Sus scrofa: one gene and its partner. The protein of the gene in region 2 purifies or fractionates together with the protein of the main gene of each other region. This does not show direct contact. Links are inferred from orthologs where the notes say so. Each region holds a gene or a part of one and is shown on either strand. Other genes may lie near its edges.

The links. The genes of interacting proteins can lie anywhere in the genome.
Region 1: the proteins of CDH2 (region 2) and CTNNA1 purify together in Homo sapiens (affinity purification with mass spectrometry; 4 studies listed by BioGRID and IntAct, with this or other methods). This does not show direct contact. The link is inferred for Sus scrofa from reciprocal best matches to the Homo sapiens genes CDH2 and CTNNA1.

Annotation. Positions count from the first base shown.
Region 1 is NC_010444.4:140,862,385-140,869,721, reverse strand, and holds part of CTNNA1 (catenin alpha-1), read right to left. Parts: intron 4,749-7,337; coding exon 4,638-4,748; intron 3,512-4,637; coding exon 3,330-3,511; intron 3,239-3,329; coding exon 3,133-3,238; intron 1,903-3,132; coding exon 1,768-1,902; intron 1,003-1,767; coding exon 715-1,002; 3' UTR 1-714. UniProt on the Homo sapiens protein: Associates with the cytoplasmic domain of a variety of cadherins. The association of catenins to cadherins produces a complex which is linked to the actin filament network, and which seems to be of primary importance for cadherins cell-adhesion properties.
Region 2 is NC_010448.4:112,625,070-112,632,901, reverse strand, and holds the start of CDH2 (cadherin-2), read left to right. Parts: upstream 1-3,828; 5' UTR 3,829-4,779; coding exon 4,780-4,839; intron 4,840-7,832. UniProt on the Homo sapiens protein: Calcium-dependent cell adhesion protein; preferentially mediates homotypic cell-cell adhesion by dimerization with a CDH2 chain from another cell. Cadherins may thus contribute to the sorting of heterogeneous cell types.

The DNA.
Region 1 (7,337 bases), on a different chromosome or scaffold from region 2:
GTGATCACAAAGAAGCCGAGTCTATGTTACTGCCCAAGCAAACACGCGTTTGCCAGGCCTCTGCCGCAAGCCCAAGGCAAGAAACTCTGCAATTATTAGAAGTGAGCCCAAGGAGGAATTTGCACTGGAAGCTGAAGAAGGGGGGGAAAGCGTGTTCTGATCATGGCATCGCAACGGTCTAGCCTGAAAAGAGCAACGTTAGTCGTGACCTGCAGCGAGCGCACACAGGGGCTGTAACCACGTCTTCGCGTCATCACCGTTCTTCCCGATACAGCTATGTCCTACTGAGTTTCGTGGGGTCTGTCCCTCTAAAGACCTTTCTGGGAATGTTCATTTTCCAGGGCCGCCTTCTAAGACGCCCAGGCCGCTTGCTCTGGGTCGCCTCTGGTCACGTACCACCAGCCACCCTGCCCGAAGCAGCGAAGGCCCCTCCCTGCCAGGCCCCTGCGATCAACGCCTGATGCTGCCGCCGCCAGGACGACGGACGGGCGCGTCGACTTGGTCAACAGTGTTACCAACAGGTGAGTGTGGGAGTCTCTTTGGTTAAGAACTTTGACGGAAGCTTGTAAAAAAGACAGAGCTGGATACGTGCTCCTCAATTCTAAAAGGACTTCTGATCAACTTAAACACAAGACTGTCCCTGTCCCCAACATTCAGCCGCCTGCCTGCGTCCCCGGGACGCCCAGAGCAGGGGGCCGCCCGCAGCCGCTGGCCTCAGATGCTGTCCATGGCTTTGAACTCGCTGAGGGCCTGCACGGGGTTCACGTGCTTCTTCTGCGAGGCCCTCTTAATCTTGGTCTGGGTCTCGTCCTGCTTCTCTCTCTTCACCAAGGGCTTCTTCTCAGGCGCCTTCATCTTCCAGGACACGGCGGGGAGGTTGAGGGAGGCCATGCCCTGGGACTTCTGGTACTTGGTGGAGGCCACGTAGGAGGCCTTCACCGTCTGCACCACGGCGTTCATCAGGTTCTTGGCGGCCTGGATCAGGGACATGGCGCTGTCCACCTAGAGGGCACAGCAGGGAGGAGCCGTGAGCGCGGGCGGCCCGGGGCCCGGCCGCAGCGCCCCCCGCTGCTGCTGGGACCCGACGCCCGCAGGTGCCTGTGCTGCGGCTGGCGAGCGGGGGGAGGCCTGAGAAAAGCTCGCGGACCGTTAGCTCACTGCCCCCTCAACCGCATGATTCCCTGGGGGCGCGGGCTCTGCTGCAGGCGCGGGGGTGGCGGCGGCAGCACTGGAACCGCAAGCACCGGCAACAGCCCTGCCTCGCGACAGAAAGCCCACGGTCAGGGCCCGGGGGTGTCCCCGCTCAGAGCCTCTGCCTTACTGCTCCCCAGGGACGGGGCATCTCAGTTGTAGCAGGTGCACACGTGCTGAGTACGTGTGAAAGGCAACGCCGTGGGGTCCTTAGCAGAAGCCACAGGGAATCAGTGGAGGGAGGCGTTTCTCCTGCCCAAGGTGACAAGGGGTCCAGACCTGTGACGCGGTAGACAGACCCAGGAGGAGACGCTACCGGCACACCTGGAGGATGGGGAAGGTTCGAGGAAACCTATCTGCGTGACCTCGGCAATTTCTCAAAGGGTTCCATTTCTCTCGGAGGGAAGAAAAGTGAGGAAGCTACAAGCACTTTCTCCCAGGGAGCGGCCCGCACAGGCCGCGCTCAGCAGAGCTGCGGTTCTGCAGGGAGCGGCCCGGAGCAGCCCTTGGCCTCCGAGGACCGAGAGGAAACTCGCCGGCAGGGCCCACGCATGACTCTTCCCAGATGGAACTTACCCCGGAGACGACCAGCTCCCCGCCCAGGTTCTGCACCTCGGCCTTGACTTTGCTGCAGATGTTGAGCTGGTGGCAGTAGAGGGCGATGCGCTGCAGGTAGGCCAGCAGGTCCTGCTTACAGGCCGAGTCCGGGCACTGCGGGAGAGCGGGCTCAGCACCAGGCCCCCGGCCCCCCCCCCCCCCCACCCCGCCGGCTATTTCTCAGAGGCCCCGCGTGCTCCTGGCTGGAACAGAGGGCCAGAGCCAGGAGTCACCCCAGGACCCAGGGCCGTGACTGCCGGGGCTACCCTCAGCAAGGCTGCTTCTGGAGAAAAGGCAGCGCCCTGGGGCTGCCTGAGACCGTCCCCGCAGCTCCTCAATGACCCCCACTGTAGCCACCTAATGACACGAGAGTCACTTCAGGCCACGACAGAGAATGTGAGTGGCTCAGAGCACACAGCACGTGGGGGCCGGGAGGGCCTGCCCCGTCCCGGGAAAGCGCTGTCTTGCTACCAGAGCTCAGGGCCAGCTTAGGAGGGCCCCCCACAGAAGGAGGGGTGCACCCCCTCCTGGGAGGCTGGGGAGCAGGGAGGGCGAGAGTGGTTCAATTAAGCCTGCAGCCCCTGCGGGAGAGCGAGGACTTGATTCTGAGCAGGGCAGCGCCACAGCTCATTCAATGATTGCGCAGAAAGACGGCGCTGGCCCCCGAGTGGAGATGGGGCGAGGAGGGGGGTGCCCCGTGACTCCGTGTGGCCAGGGGAAGCGGGGGCTCAGTACTGGATTATTAGAACAAAGAGGGCAGTGGAGGACCCGCTGTACTGCAAGCTGAGCTGAGCCACAGCGTCTCTGACCACATTGGAAGCATGAGGGGAATGTACGGTGGCCTCTCCAGGACAGAGGAACATGCTGCTCTGAAGAATGAAGGGGCCAAGGCTGGGTGGCTGAGCACGGAGACATCTGTCCCCAGGTGGGCACATCAGCCTTCCAAAGCACCAGCCAAAAGGGCTCCTGATTTTTACGTGACACAAAGCCACAGAGGCTCTCCTACACCTGGTTTCAGTGTATTATTAGGACCTGCCCAGAGTGTCTCCTGAAGCCAAATGAGAGCCATAAACACCAGCAGAGGGTGGTCTGAGCAGTCGTGTCCACCAAGGACTGCGGGGCCCAGGCACCTGCTCCAGATGAGCTTTAACGCAAACTGGGCCTGCCTTATAAGACGAGTCGGAGGAGGAAGAGGAATTGAGAAATCCTTACAACGACGCTGATACAGAACCGAGCTGGGTGGCAGGTTAGGAGCAGTGCTTCATGAGAAAACACTGTTACCCCCACTGGGCTGCCTGAGCCCCAGGATGAACCCGGAGGCCCACGGGCCAGCCCGTCACTCACGTGGTCTGCGATGGTACGGCCGAGCTTATCCATCCGGGATCCTGCCTCGGCAATCTTCTTGGCGGCGCTGATCACGTCGGATGTGTTTTTGAGCGGTCCTTTACCTCTGGAGCAAGCGGACAAGGAGGGCTGTAGCACCCGAAGCCCCCGCCCCGTGGGGGGGGGGGGGGAAGGGGGGGCTGGGCTGCTGGGCTCACCGGGTGAAGTCCGTCATCTCCATCATGATCATGCACATCTGCTTGGCCAGCACGATGATGTCGTTACCGCTGTCGTCCCACTTGGACACTTCGGCGTCCAGCTTGCTCTTTTCTTCCTGGAAGCTGGCCACCTGTTCCGCGATCTTCGCTTTTTGCTCCTGGGGAAGCTGAGCCATGATCGCCTAAAATCAGAAGCACAGAAAGCTCTTACATAAAGAGAAGATGAAGTTCCCACAGTGCATTAGGCAAGAATATTTCCACCAAGCGATCTATGACACAGGTAGGATAATGCTGTAATAGCTTTCATTTTGCTCAAAGGGCCATTTCTTCTCATTTTGTGCAGAAGTTTAGAGCAGCCTGAATTGCCGACCCCCTTTGAAGACCGAGCTGTAGCGTGGATCAAGACAGGGATGAGGGCAGAAGGCCCAGGCCGAGCCTCACCATCAACCTGCACAGGGACACAACCTGCTTTGCTTAATGCTTTAGAAGTGTCACCCTGCCTCCTGTCGTGGGGAGAAGACGAGGACTCGTGTCCCTGGCAGGCCCTGAAGGGCCCTTCCTGTGGCCCAGTCCACCTCCAGCTTTTCAAGGTGACCTGGAAGTAGTTTTGGAACGTACACTTTACAGAAGGAAAGTGGGCACAAGAGAAGCTGCTGCCGAGGGAGCATTTTAGGGACGTGAGAGGCCACCTAGAGCTCATGGCAGCAGCACCCGGAGGCCGGCTGCGCAGCCCCAGCCTCAGGCCCTGTGTTCCTCCCTCTCCAGTCCGCTTCCCGAATGCTCAGGACCGGGGCGGGGTGGGGGCTTAAGGCAGGGAGGTACCGCTTTTCCAGAATGATTTCTAAAGGGTGAAAAAAGACTCCTTAGAAATATTTCTTGGCATCCTCCCAAAAACATAAATGCAACTGATTGAAGACGTAATGACTTAAGTGAACGCAGTGGCGCTGGATTTCGTGAATGCGCTACTGTGTTGTTTTTCACCCATGAATAATTAAATAGTTCATGCCCGTGGTATCACTGAGATAGGCAAAGAGAGCCACCTTTTTTCGACTTTTTTAACAAACGCTGCATTGACCAGATCCCGGGGCTTTCGGGACCCAGGGCCCCTCGTACACCAAAGCCCAGGGCACCGCGAGGAGGCCCATATGCTCCTGCCCTGCTTCCAGCTGGGGAAACATTTCGGAGGAACCCCCAGGTTAACCACAGAGGACAAGAACTATGTTCTCGACAGTGAGTTTCCTAGAAAAAAAAAGGCCAGACGCGAGAGGAGTGGGAAGGTCTGCAGGCCGAGGCGAAGCGGGGCCTCACCCGGGCACTCTGGCCGGCGATCAGCTGGTCGTCCTCTGTCTGGACACTGGTCCTGCTGCGGACATCGAAGTCTTCCGTCTCGAAGTCCGAGTCGTCCAGCTCCTCAGGGGTCTGCCACCAGACAGAAAACACAGTGAAGCACAAGCCTGGGCCTCCAGCCGCCCCGAGCCTCTGGGTCCACAGCCCCAGGGCCCAACAGACGGAGAGCCAGGATTTCCTGCAGGATTCCACGGCGGAGGAACATCACGTTAAAACGGCTCAGTGTTCGTCTGAGAGCCTGCCTCACTGACCACGAGCCAGGCGGCCCCTTCAACGAGCAGCAGCAACGGCACCAGGCCGCCGCTTCCCAAAGGACCCAGGGGTCCTTTACCGCAGTGAGGGCTGCAAGTGCTGCCAGGGCGTCCAGACTCTGCTTGACAAAGCTTTGCGGTTCGAAATGGACTTCGCCAAGGCCTGCACCTTAAGACAAAGGTGAGACGCGTCCTGGGTGGAAAAGCTACTGGAGTAAAACACAAGTGTTTCCTACAGCATTAAGCAGACCCTTATTCTAACTTTCCCACTTTACGATAAAAAAGAAAACTAAATGAACTAATAGTGGGCCTTCTTACAGGGTAGCAAATGCTGCTTTGAGGGGTAAAAATAGACAATGTATTTTCACGCACTGACTTTATCTAAGGCCCAGAGCGAACCTGGCGGCTACGGCCCGAGGAAACACCAAGGGGACTGACGGCCGGCCCTACCTCTGCTTTAACTGTGAAATAAAATTCGCATGTTGTGCATCCTCCAGCCGCTCCTGATTAGCTGCTGACTTGAAACATAATGTCATCTTCTGGAAGTTATCAGCCGCAGGGCAGCAGGCAGAACAGCTGGGGCTGGCTCTTGGCCCAGCCGGCCGGCCTGTGACAGGAGGGCAGCGAGGCGAGTCCCTCATCTGCACCAGGACCCAGTCCAAGCCCAGCCCAGGCCTCGCTGTGAGGCTCAAACGAGAAGCCGTGGGAGGAAGCTCTGAAACCGCCAGGGGTATGCTGGGTTTGTCCCTCCCTCACTGAAGGGGAGGACAGTGGGGGTCTTGCGAGGCACCAGTGTGGATGCCAGAGCCTGGAGTTGTGTTGCCATGGGCCATTTAAATTTTTTTTTTTTTGTACCCACAGCCTGGGCCAAGGATTGAACCTCTACTACAGCTGTGACAGTGCTGAACCCTTAAGCACTAGGCCACCAGGGAACTCCTGCCCTTGGCCACTTTAATCCGGGGTCCCCGACACCTTCAGCCTCTGAGTGCTCCAAGGGGAGCCTCCTAACACAAGCTCCACCTCCCCACCTTTCTGGACGGCCCGTCACAGACCCACGAAAACCAAACATCTCCTCTTCATTCACTGATTACGTGTCTGCCAGCCACTCTTCTGGGCCGTGGAGGTACAAAATAGAACAGACAAAACCCCCTGCTCTCACATGTATTCCAATGGGAGACATGACCAACGCAATAAGGGGAATTGCAAGACATCAAGGCAAGTGATCAGCGCGATCAAGCAGCAGGAAGACCGTCGTTTTATACGGGTGCTCAGGAAAGGTTGAGTGAGATGGAGACGCTGGCCCCAGACTTGAAGACGGTGAAGGTGGGAGCACAGGAGGGGGTCACCCACACGAAGCCTGGAGCCGGGTCTGCCGGGGAAGTGGACGACAGCAAAGGCCGTTCACGGCCCTCGCGTGGCAGGGTCAGCTGGAGCCCTGGGATCCCAGGAAGGCATAGCGGGAGGTGAGGGACAGAGGTGACAGGCTCCGCTCCTGGCAGGCCTCGTGGGCCAGGGTAAGGACGGAGGGCCGGGGTAAGGACGAAGGGACAGGCAGCCGTCGGAGAGGACTGAGCATTCTGGGTGCTTGGCGGCGGGGGAGACTGCCCGACCCAGGGCTGCGGATGTGGAGCCTGGCTGAGAAGCAACTGCATGAAGCCAGGGAGAGATGCCGGCGGCCTGGAGCAGGGCAGGAATAGTGTCTCGAGTCTCTATTGACGGTGAGGTAGACCCAGTAAGACTTGCAGAGAGATGAGATTCAGGGTATGAGGCAAAAAGCAGAATCAAAGGTGAAGCCAAGGTTGGGGCTGAGCAAGTGGAAGACAGAGCTGCCAGCAGGTGCTGTGAGCAGCCTGGGTGGCGAGACAGGAGCTTGGTCTGATGCGTGAAGCGGGGTGGGGTGGGCGGGCAGGGTGGCAGGTGAACCAGGGGCACAGCAGAGTCGACCGCTTGCTGGTCTCTCCCGCCTTTATGCACCAAGGGAACGAGCACAGTCAGATGCTGAGACGACAAGTGACAAGGGGTCCTGGCAAAGAGACAGCAGGAGGGTGGCCAGGTTTCTCACAGTCGCAGAAACGGTGGCGTGTGTGTGTGTGTGTGTGTGTGTGTGTGTGCGCGCGCGCCCCGGAGGAAGGGGCTGGAGGAAATGGGCTGAGGATGGCCGCTGCCAGCACGGGGACATCCACGGTGAGGGGAGGAGGCAGGGGACATGGGCACAGGCGTGGCAGGAGCAGACGTGCACACTGCTCAGCAGCCCTAGTGAGAGGGCCCCACAGCTGGCCAGGGAGGCTGGGGCACAGGTGGGCAAGTGCCAGCAGGCCGCTGCCCTGGGCACCCAGGGCCCCCTGGCAATGCCGGGTGCGGCGGCCCCGCTCAAGATAGCTGCACTTGTGTGCGCCAGGCCCCATTAGGG
Region 2 (7,832 bases):
AAAGTGAGGGAGGAAGGAAGGAAAGAAAGAACCTTTAAGCCAGGGTAGACTTTAAAAAGCCAGGTTTGGGGATTTCCCTAATGGTTCCGTAGGTTAAGGATCTGGCGTTGTCACTGCTGTGGCTTGGGTTCGATCCCCAGCCCAGGAATTTCTACATGCCTCAGGCCCAGCCAAAAAATAGAAAAATAAAAAGCCAAGGTTTTTTTCTAGTATTGGAACAGATCTTCTCTGGGTGAGGACCCCATGAATGGCTGTCTTTTTATATCAAAGATGTGGATAGAGAAACACCAGAATCATACTAAATATGGTGAGAGTGAGATGATCACACTGAGAAAGGCAACTGGGAATGGAGATTGTGAAAGGAAACAGAAGAGCTACGTCTCTAACTTCACACACATTTCTAAGAACAAAATACCTGAGAGAGTGGACAAATCTCCAGTATCATTACATTTTCTTTTTTTTTTTTTAAACTTCCTTATTCCACATAGGCGAATTTTTCTAAAGTTAAAAGGGACTCCCTAGGAGTTCTCTGGTGGCTCAGTGGGTTAAGGACCTGGTGTTGTCACTACTGTGGCTCGGGTTGCTGCTGTGGCTCGGGTTCGATCCCTGGCCGGGGAACTTCCGAATGCCACATGAATGACCAAAAAATGGGGCAGGGGGAGTCTCGAGAATAATGTAAAGAGCCCAGTGAAAGTGGGAGTAAGGCAGCCTGAGTCCATCTAGCATTCTCCACTTGCCAGCTGGTAGCCTTGCATACATCTTTAAGCCTCAGTGTTCCTATAAAATGAGAGAGTTGCATAGACCATCTTTTGTTTCATTTAGAATAGTCCGTAACTCTAAAAGGCCTATTAACGCAGGGAAGGTCAGCTTTAACACACTAAAGCTAATTGGAGAGAAACTTGCAAACATAAGGGATACTTCTTAAGGGACAAAGGACAATCCTAGCTTGTCCTGGAGACTGGGAGAGAAAGAGGAAGAGTGGAAGACCATCTTGAGTAACACTGGGGAAGGACACTGGGCTGGTGTCAGAGGCCAAGACTATTGTGGGTCCTGCCCTAGAGGTGTAGGGGTGGGGGCGTGGTGGTGGGGTGGGTGCAGACTTGACAACCACTGGTTGCATGTCTTTCCAAAGTGAGGACCCTTTTAGGAAAAGACTCACATGATGTATTTGTATGCTTTGCATCTCCTGTATGAGAATACACACTAGAACAAAAAGTTACAATGACTTTTCTTTGAAATGAATGTTTAAAAAGGAATCATCATGGCATCTACATGCATATGAACACTTGCTACGAGTTGCAGGAACAACATTCATTCAGTCTGTCCATAATGTTTGATGCACATGTTCTCCTTTGCAGACCACTTGTAGTTAAGTCGGCGGCGGCGGCAGCAGCAGCAGCAGCGCATGGGTCAAAAAATAAGGGATTAGGTTGATTTTCAGTGCATGAGCCCAGCCTTAGTTTTAATGATTATTTTGCTGGTCTTTCCCGCCTTCCACCTTCTCCCCCCACAATCACACTGTTTCTCTGGGTTACCGCCTAGGCCCCTGCAGTCCCGGAGCTGTGCAAGTGGATAGAAAATCAGTTTTCAAACTGGCAGTGCTTTGAGCAGAAGCTGAAAACCTGATAGTTGGGTTACCACTTGCCCAGAGAAATGAAAGGCCCCATTAGATTACCTTCAGAATGATGCAGTGGAAGTACCATTAGTGTTGGATGCCAAAGTCAACACTAGATCCACCTGCATTAGCATCAAATGGATGCACAAATCTCCAATAAGATAATTTTAGAAAAGGCTATACCTTCTCCTGATCAGTCTGACTAGCAAGATTTGGCTGTCCATGTGATCAGCCAGGAAACTCAGGCAGAATTCCAAAGCTATCCACAGCCATTGAAGAGTGAGAGGCCTGGAAGTTGGACATAAAATTAAAAAAAAAACCCAAAAACAAATGCTGCCAAGTGCTTACCTATCTGATTGAAAACTACTGCAATCAGAGCATAAGTTGACTGACAGGCATTCCAAAGCAGATTCTGAAGTCATAATAAGAGTTCAATTTGTAAGGGGCACACGGTTTAAAACTTTAAGCAAATAATACTAACAAGCAATAGTTATTCATGTTGAAATCTCTTCTACATTTAAATTAATCAGAATGGCAATAAACATCAATGGCTACTGTTGGGAGTGGTGAGGATGCAACTAAGGCCTCAAGTCCAGGGTCAAAGCTTAATTCTTAGGCATGGAGATGGGATTTATAAATCCCACTTTGGTACACAACAAATACTATCCCCATTTTGCCACTAAATGTTTTACTACTATGCATGACTTATTGAAAGTGGAATTTATGAATACCCTATGGCAAGGAGAAATTTTAGGCTGATTGGCAATAGTGTGACAATATCTAGCAAAGAAGTAAGCAAAAGAACAAATGGAGCCTTTTGTCTTTAAATGTAATTAACATATTCTTCCTTATCCTTTTGGAAAGAAAATTCAGAAAAATTTTTTTTGAGTTTCATTTTTTGAAGGCTGACGATATTATGTTTTAATTAAAATTGAATAAACTTCCGTTTGCATACTGATTTAAAAGCCTAGCCAGCAACAGCACATTAAAAGCTGCATTACTTACATCAAATAAATTTTTACTTGATTTTTAGATTCATTATCAAGTTCTCAAATGATCAGTATCCTGAAACTCAAATAATGTTAATACTTCAGTTACCCGAAGCAGAAGAGTAAAGTTCAATAAGCAAAGAAGGTGGATGACCTCCGAAGTGCTAAAACCCTTAGGAAAAAACCGATATTTTCATTTACTTGAAAAAATCTAAAAAAAAAGTTCTGATAAAACCTTATCACTTTGCCAAAATCAATTGCTCCTCACCCCTCCCTCCATTCCACAAATGCTTGTGACCCCAACTTGTAAAGTCTCTCACTTTTTGTGTTCCACTCCAAGTTCCGTGCCTCAAAAGGAGGAAGCAAAAATCCTTTACTTGGATTGAACTCTGAATCAGTCATTTCATCTCTTAGATAATCCTATTTTTCACGGCAAGTTCTGGCCTTTAGGTTGTGTCCCCATTTCTTTTTCTTTCTTTCGTTGTTGCGGGTGGTGTAGGGAGGGAGTCAAAGTCCCTTCAACCGTTTGCTAAAAAATGTGAACAGCACCACTAAGGAGCAGAAACAGAAAATGGGAGGTTTCAAACAGAATAACACGCACTCTCAAACCCCCAGAAAGAATAACAACAAAACAAGCACACAGAAACTTGGGCTGGTCCAGCACATCCGCAAAGGAGGGAGAGGTGCGAGCGCTTCAGAGAAGCCGATGGGCCTCCGCCCTGCCCGCCCGCAGGTGGCTCCTGGCAAGCGCCGCAGACAACAATGGCCAGCATGGGCTTTGCCCGCGTCGCTAGTTTGCTGTGTCTGTCCCTGCCCAGAAAAACGGTCTATCTTGAAAGAATGACCAAACAGAAAGGGAAGCGAAGCGTGCGTTAGGCTGTGAAGAAAGCATTCCCCCTTCAATGCCTAACATCTATCTGATGCCCCATCGCTGTCCAAAGATGAACCTGCCACCGATCAAGTTCCGGCGCAAGTTCTTTTCTTTCCCGCAGCCCCTACACCTGCCGGGCAGTGCTCTGCACATCCCCAGGTTTCCCTCCCGCGGCCCCCCTCGGGCTGCAGCAAAAATGGGGCGCTTCGGTGGGGCGGGGGCGGGCGGCTGCCGCGGATCCCGCCGGCTACCGCCGCAGCTTGGTGGCCTCCGATTGGCCACGACGCGGGCGGGGAAGCTCCGCGGCGGAGGAGGGAGGCGGGGGCGAGGGCGGCGGCAGCGGGAGGGGATCGGAGCGGGGAGCTGGCTGCGCAGCCGGGCAGCGCGCGGGGAGAGCGGTGGCGGCGGCTCACCCTAGTCGCGCTCGCGGAGGCCGAGAGGGGCGCGCGGGCGGCGGCGGGGGGTGGGGGCGGCGCGCGCGAGTGAGCCGAAAGGGGCGAGGACCCGCGGGCGGGTGCCGGCGCGCGGGCAGCAGGGGCGGCCGTAGCGGCAGCTGCGCGGGACGGAGCCGCGGCGGGAGCGGCCGGGCGGGCCCCTGGCCTCACTCCCGCGCGGCAGAGGCCGGAGAATAGTCTCCAACTCTCAGGGGGACCGGAAAGGGGAGCGGAGAAGCGGTCCTTGCCTCCCACGCAGCAGAGGAGCCAGGCGGCGGGACTGCTGCCCTTTGTGGGCGCAGCGCGCGCGGCCCAGAGCGCCCTCCCCGCGGCGCTCTCGCCCGCGTCTTCATCTTGCAGAGCGGCCCTGGAGAAGGGACCCGGAGGAAGCAAAACCCGAGCCCGAAACCTCGCGTTGCGGAGCTCCTGGGGAGCGCCAGCCGCTCCACTTCCACCTCCGCATCCTCCACTGGCCAAGGTCTCCGCCGCCTGCATCCCTCCTGGCTTCCGCTGCGCTTTGGGCCAGAGCAGAGCCGCCTGCGCTGCCACCGCGGCCACACACACACACACACACACACACACACACACGCACTCACGCGCACGCCCGCCTTCTCTCCCGCCCCTCCCCAGCTCCTTGATCTCTAGGTCTGTTTTATTACTCGTGGTGCGAGTCCCGACTCCGCGGCCCGCTATTTGTCATCAGCTCTCTCTCCATTGGCGGGGAGCAGAGAGCGGCGGCGAAGGGGGTGGGGTGGGGAGGGGAAGGGAAGGGGGTGGAAACTGCCTGGAGCCGTCTCTCCGCGCCGCTGTTGGTGCTGCCGCTGCTGCCGCCGACGCCTCCGGCTCCTCGCTCGGCCCCTCTCCGCCTCCATGTGCCGGATACTGGGAGCGCCGCGGACCCTGCTGCCGCTCCTGGCGGCTCTGCTTCAGGTACGCAGCGGTCCCCGCGGGCCGGGCTGCGGGCGGGGTGGGGCAGGCAGCGCCGGGTCCCTTTGTTCCCCGCGCCGCTGCGGGGCCGGGCTGCGCACCCGGGAAGGGAGGTGCCGCACCGCGCGGACGGTTGCTGCGCAGACACGAGGCTTGGGCCGTGCGCAGGGACAGGGCTGCTGGGGCCAACCAGTCTCCCGCGCCACTCTTGGCGGGTCGCAAAGAGGCTAATCCGGGGCCCCCTCTGCTCCTCCAGCGGGGTCGGGCGAGCTCGCGGCGGGTGTTTCTAGGCAGTAGAAGACTGAGGTAGGATAGGGCTCTGGTTTTGCAGTTTCCTAAGCTTCTCGCCCCTCGCCTTGCACTTTGCTCCAATTTTTTTGTTTATTTCTGCAGGGATAGGTCGCGAGTTTGCAGAAAGAATTCTCACTCTGATGTCTTAGTTACGGGACTTGCCTCTACCTACCCCACCCTGGTACCCGCGCGCCTCCCGGTGCCCGAGGGCTCCTCTGTCCTATTGTCTTTACCCCCAGCCCAGAGTTGCTTCCTATTTTTGTTTTTCTGCCTTATCAGTTTTCTGTTTCGCTCTTACCTGGAAAGAAAACCTCGCCCCTTTGCCCCAAAAGTCTGCTCGGGTCGGCGACTCCGCATCCAGCCCCTGGGCCCCGCAGGTCCCTTATCCTGCCGCGCGGGGAGAAGTTCCGTTACTCGGCTATTATTCTTTTTCTGTCCCGCTGCCTCTGCCCTGAGTGCGTCTTGGGGGCGCCTTTACCGGGAGACTGCACTTTTCACGCCTTGGGGAGAGTGCCAGACAGCTTTCCCCTGGAAATGGTACTGGGAGTCTCCTCCGCAGCAGGAAGCACCTGCTCCAGGCAGGTCACAGGCTCCTTTCCCACTTCGCGCCTCCGGTCCCCAGCCCGGCCTAGCTCCCAACTTTCCCGCGGCGTCCGGTCGGAGGATGCCGCGAGGCCCCTGCCTGCTCGCCAGACAGGTAGCGGGGAACTGAGCCGTGCGCCGCGGCCGCTACCCCCGCGCTGGGCGGAGACCGGCCAGGGGTCCAGAGTCTGCCCCCGAGGGTGGTGAGGTCCCCAAGCGGCTGCGGGCGAGGGGCGGGTCCGCCCTCCACTAGCCCGCAGAGTCTCCGGGGAAATCCTTTCAAGTGACCCCCAGCGCACCGCCGGCGGCTGGGGGTGTCCGGCTGACGGTCGCTCCAAAAAGCGCGGGCGCGGCTGGGATGTGCCGATGCGCCCGGGGCGACCGGGAAAGGAACAGATGGTACGGATCGCTCCCCTCCATGGTCTTCACGGGTCAGGGCCTGGCGCGCTCCGGCCGCGGGCGCCGGGGGCGGGACGGGACCGGCGCCCGCGGTCTCTCGCGCTCCCTCCCGCTGCCCCCTAGAGGGGTGTGGGCCGTGGCGGTGCCGAGCCCTGTCCATGGTGCGCGGAGGAGCCGTCCCGGCTCCGTGCTCTCCTCCCCCGGGTCGTGCTCGCCCACTTTCGGGCTCCCTCCCTCCCACTGGCTCTCGGGCCGCCTGGGTCCCGTCGTTCCTTTCTCCTTTCTTGGGTTTCTCCTTTTGTTCTTTCGTCTCCTGCTGGTCGTTCCCTCTCCCCTTCCCCCACTCGCCATTCCGCCCCCACCTCGATTCTCTTCTGACTCTGGGGTTTCAGAACTAGTAGACTAGACATTTTTTGGCCTCTGCACTTTTGGGGAGTGGATGGAATTTTTTCTAACTTGGGGGAGGAGACCTGCCAGTCACTTGCTAACAAAAGTACCTCCTGTTATAAAACCACCCTTTATTCTTGGAGTGCACACTCCTCATTCTTTCACCTCCTGTCACTTCATTTATTGTTTCTTCTTTGAAAATGGGGTTTATTGACGGAGTTAGGCTGAAAGGGAAGAAGAAAAAAAGCGCTACTTCAAATGTTTAAAGTTAAGGGGAAAGCAAGATAAATTTAAGAACTTCGGATTTTTTTTTTTAAACCTGTATCATACATAGATTTAGAAAAATCTTTAAAAACCATGTTTTGGATATCATGGAGTGGTCTTACTTATTTAAAGATGACATAAAATCCCAAGAGTGTGAGTGAAGTGGTGGTATGCACACTAACTTTTTGATCTGAAAGTGAGTTTTAATTGAATACTTCGCAGTGAAGTTAGGACTGTTACCACAAATAACATGGGACTTAAGTGTGGTGCCACGGGAGCAGTCTCCTGTCCTCTTTGAGTCCTCTGCCTAGAGGCCAGGTGCGGAATTTTTAGGTCATATTCTTTTTTGTTTCCTTAAGCATTAAAAAAGTATTATATTGAAAAGCCAAACAATGGGCTTGCCCTTTCCCCTTGTACGTTCTTTCTCAGTTTCTTCCAGGCCAACGTCATGTTGATTTTTCTAAAACCTTGAGGAATGGAGAGATTAAAACTTTGTCATCGAGTTGTTTGGCAGACTTTTAATTCCTGGTGCAAGTCAAGCAATAACACTGAGTGATTTGCAAGGTCATTAGAAGTGGAAGCAGAGTTTATGCAACATCAGTTTTTGGGTTGTTTTAGGGTTAAGTGCACCATGTGGATTGTACACACTGAGGTTGGAAATGACTTTGTCCTAATGGTCTGCTTTACACACCAGAATAACCAGATCTATCTGCAAGGTGAATATGGCCCCTCTGCAGTCATCTGCTGTTAAAAATCTAATTCCCCCCGCCCCGACTCAGGCCAATCTAAGGACTCAAGAGTTTTAGAACAGCAGATGAGTAGGTTATTAGTGTAAATACCAACTGCCTTATTTTTTCAGACCAATTGAAGAATAATTGAATATTCAAAAGGACGCCAGGCCTTTAATTAACTAAAGTATTCTTTGTTTTACTTTGAACACTTCCTTTTTTTCACTTTGAGAGATTCTTTACTAGTTGAGGTATTCTCTTACCTAGATTTACATAATTCGAGTCAATTTTGCATATCATCGTATTCAGCTTTAAGGTTTTCTCTATTTTCCTCCGTATTTTAGC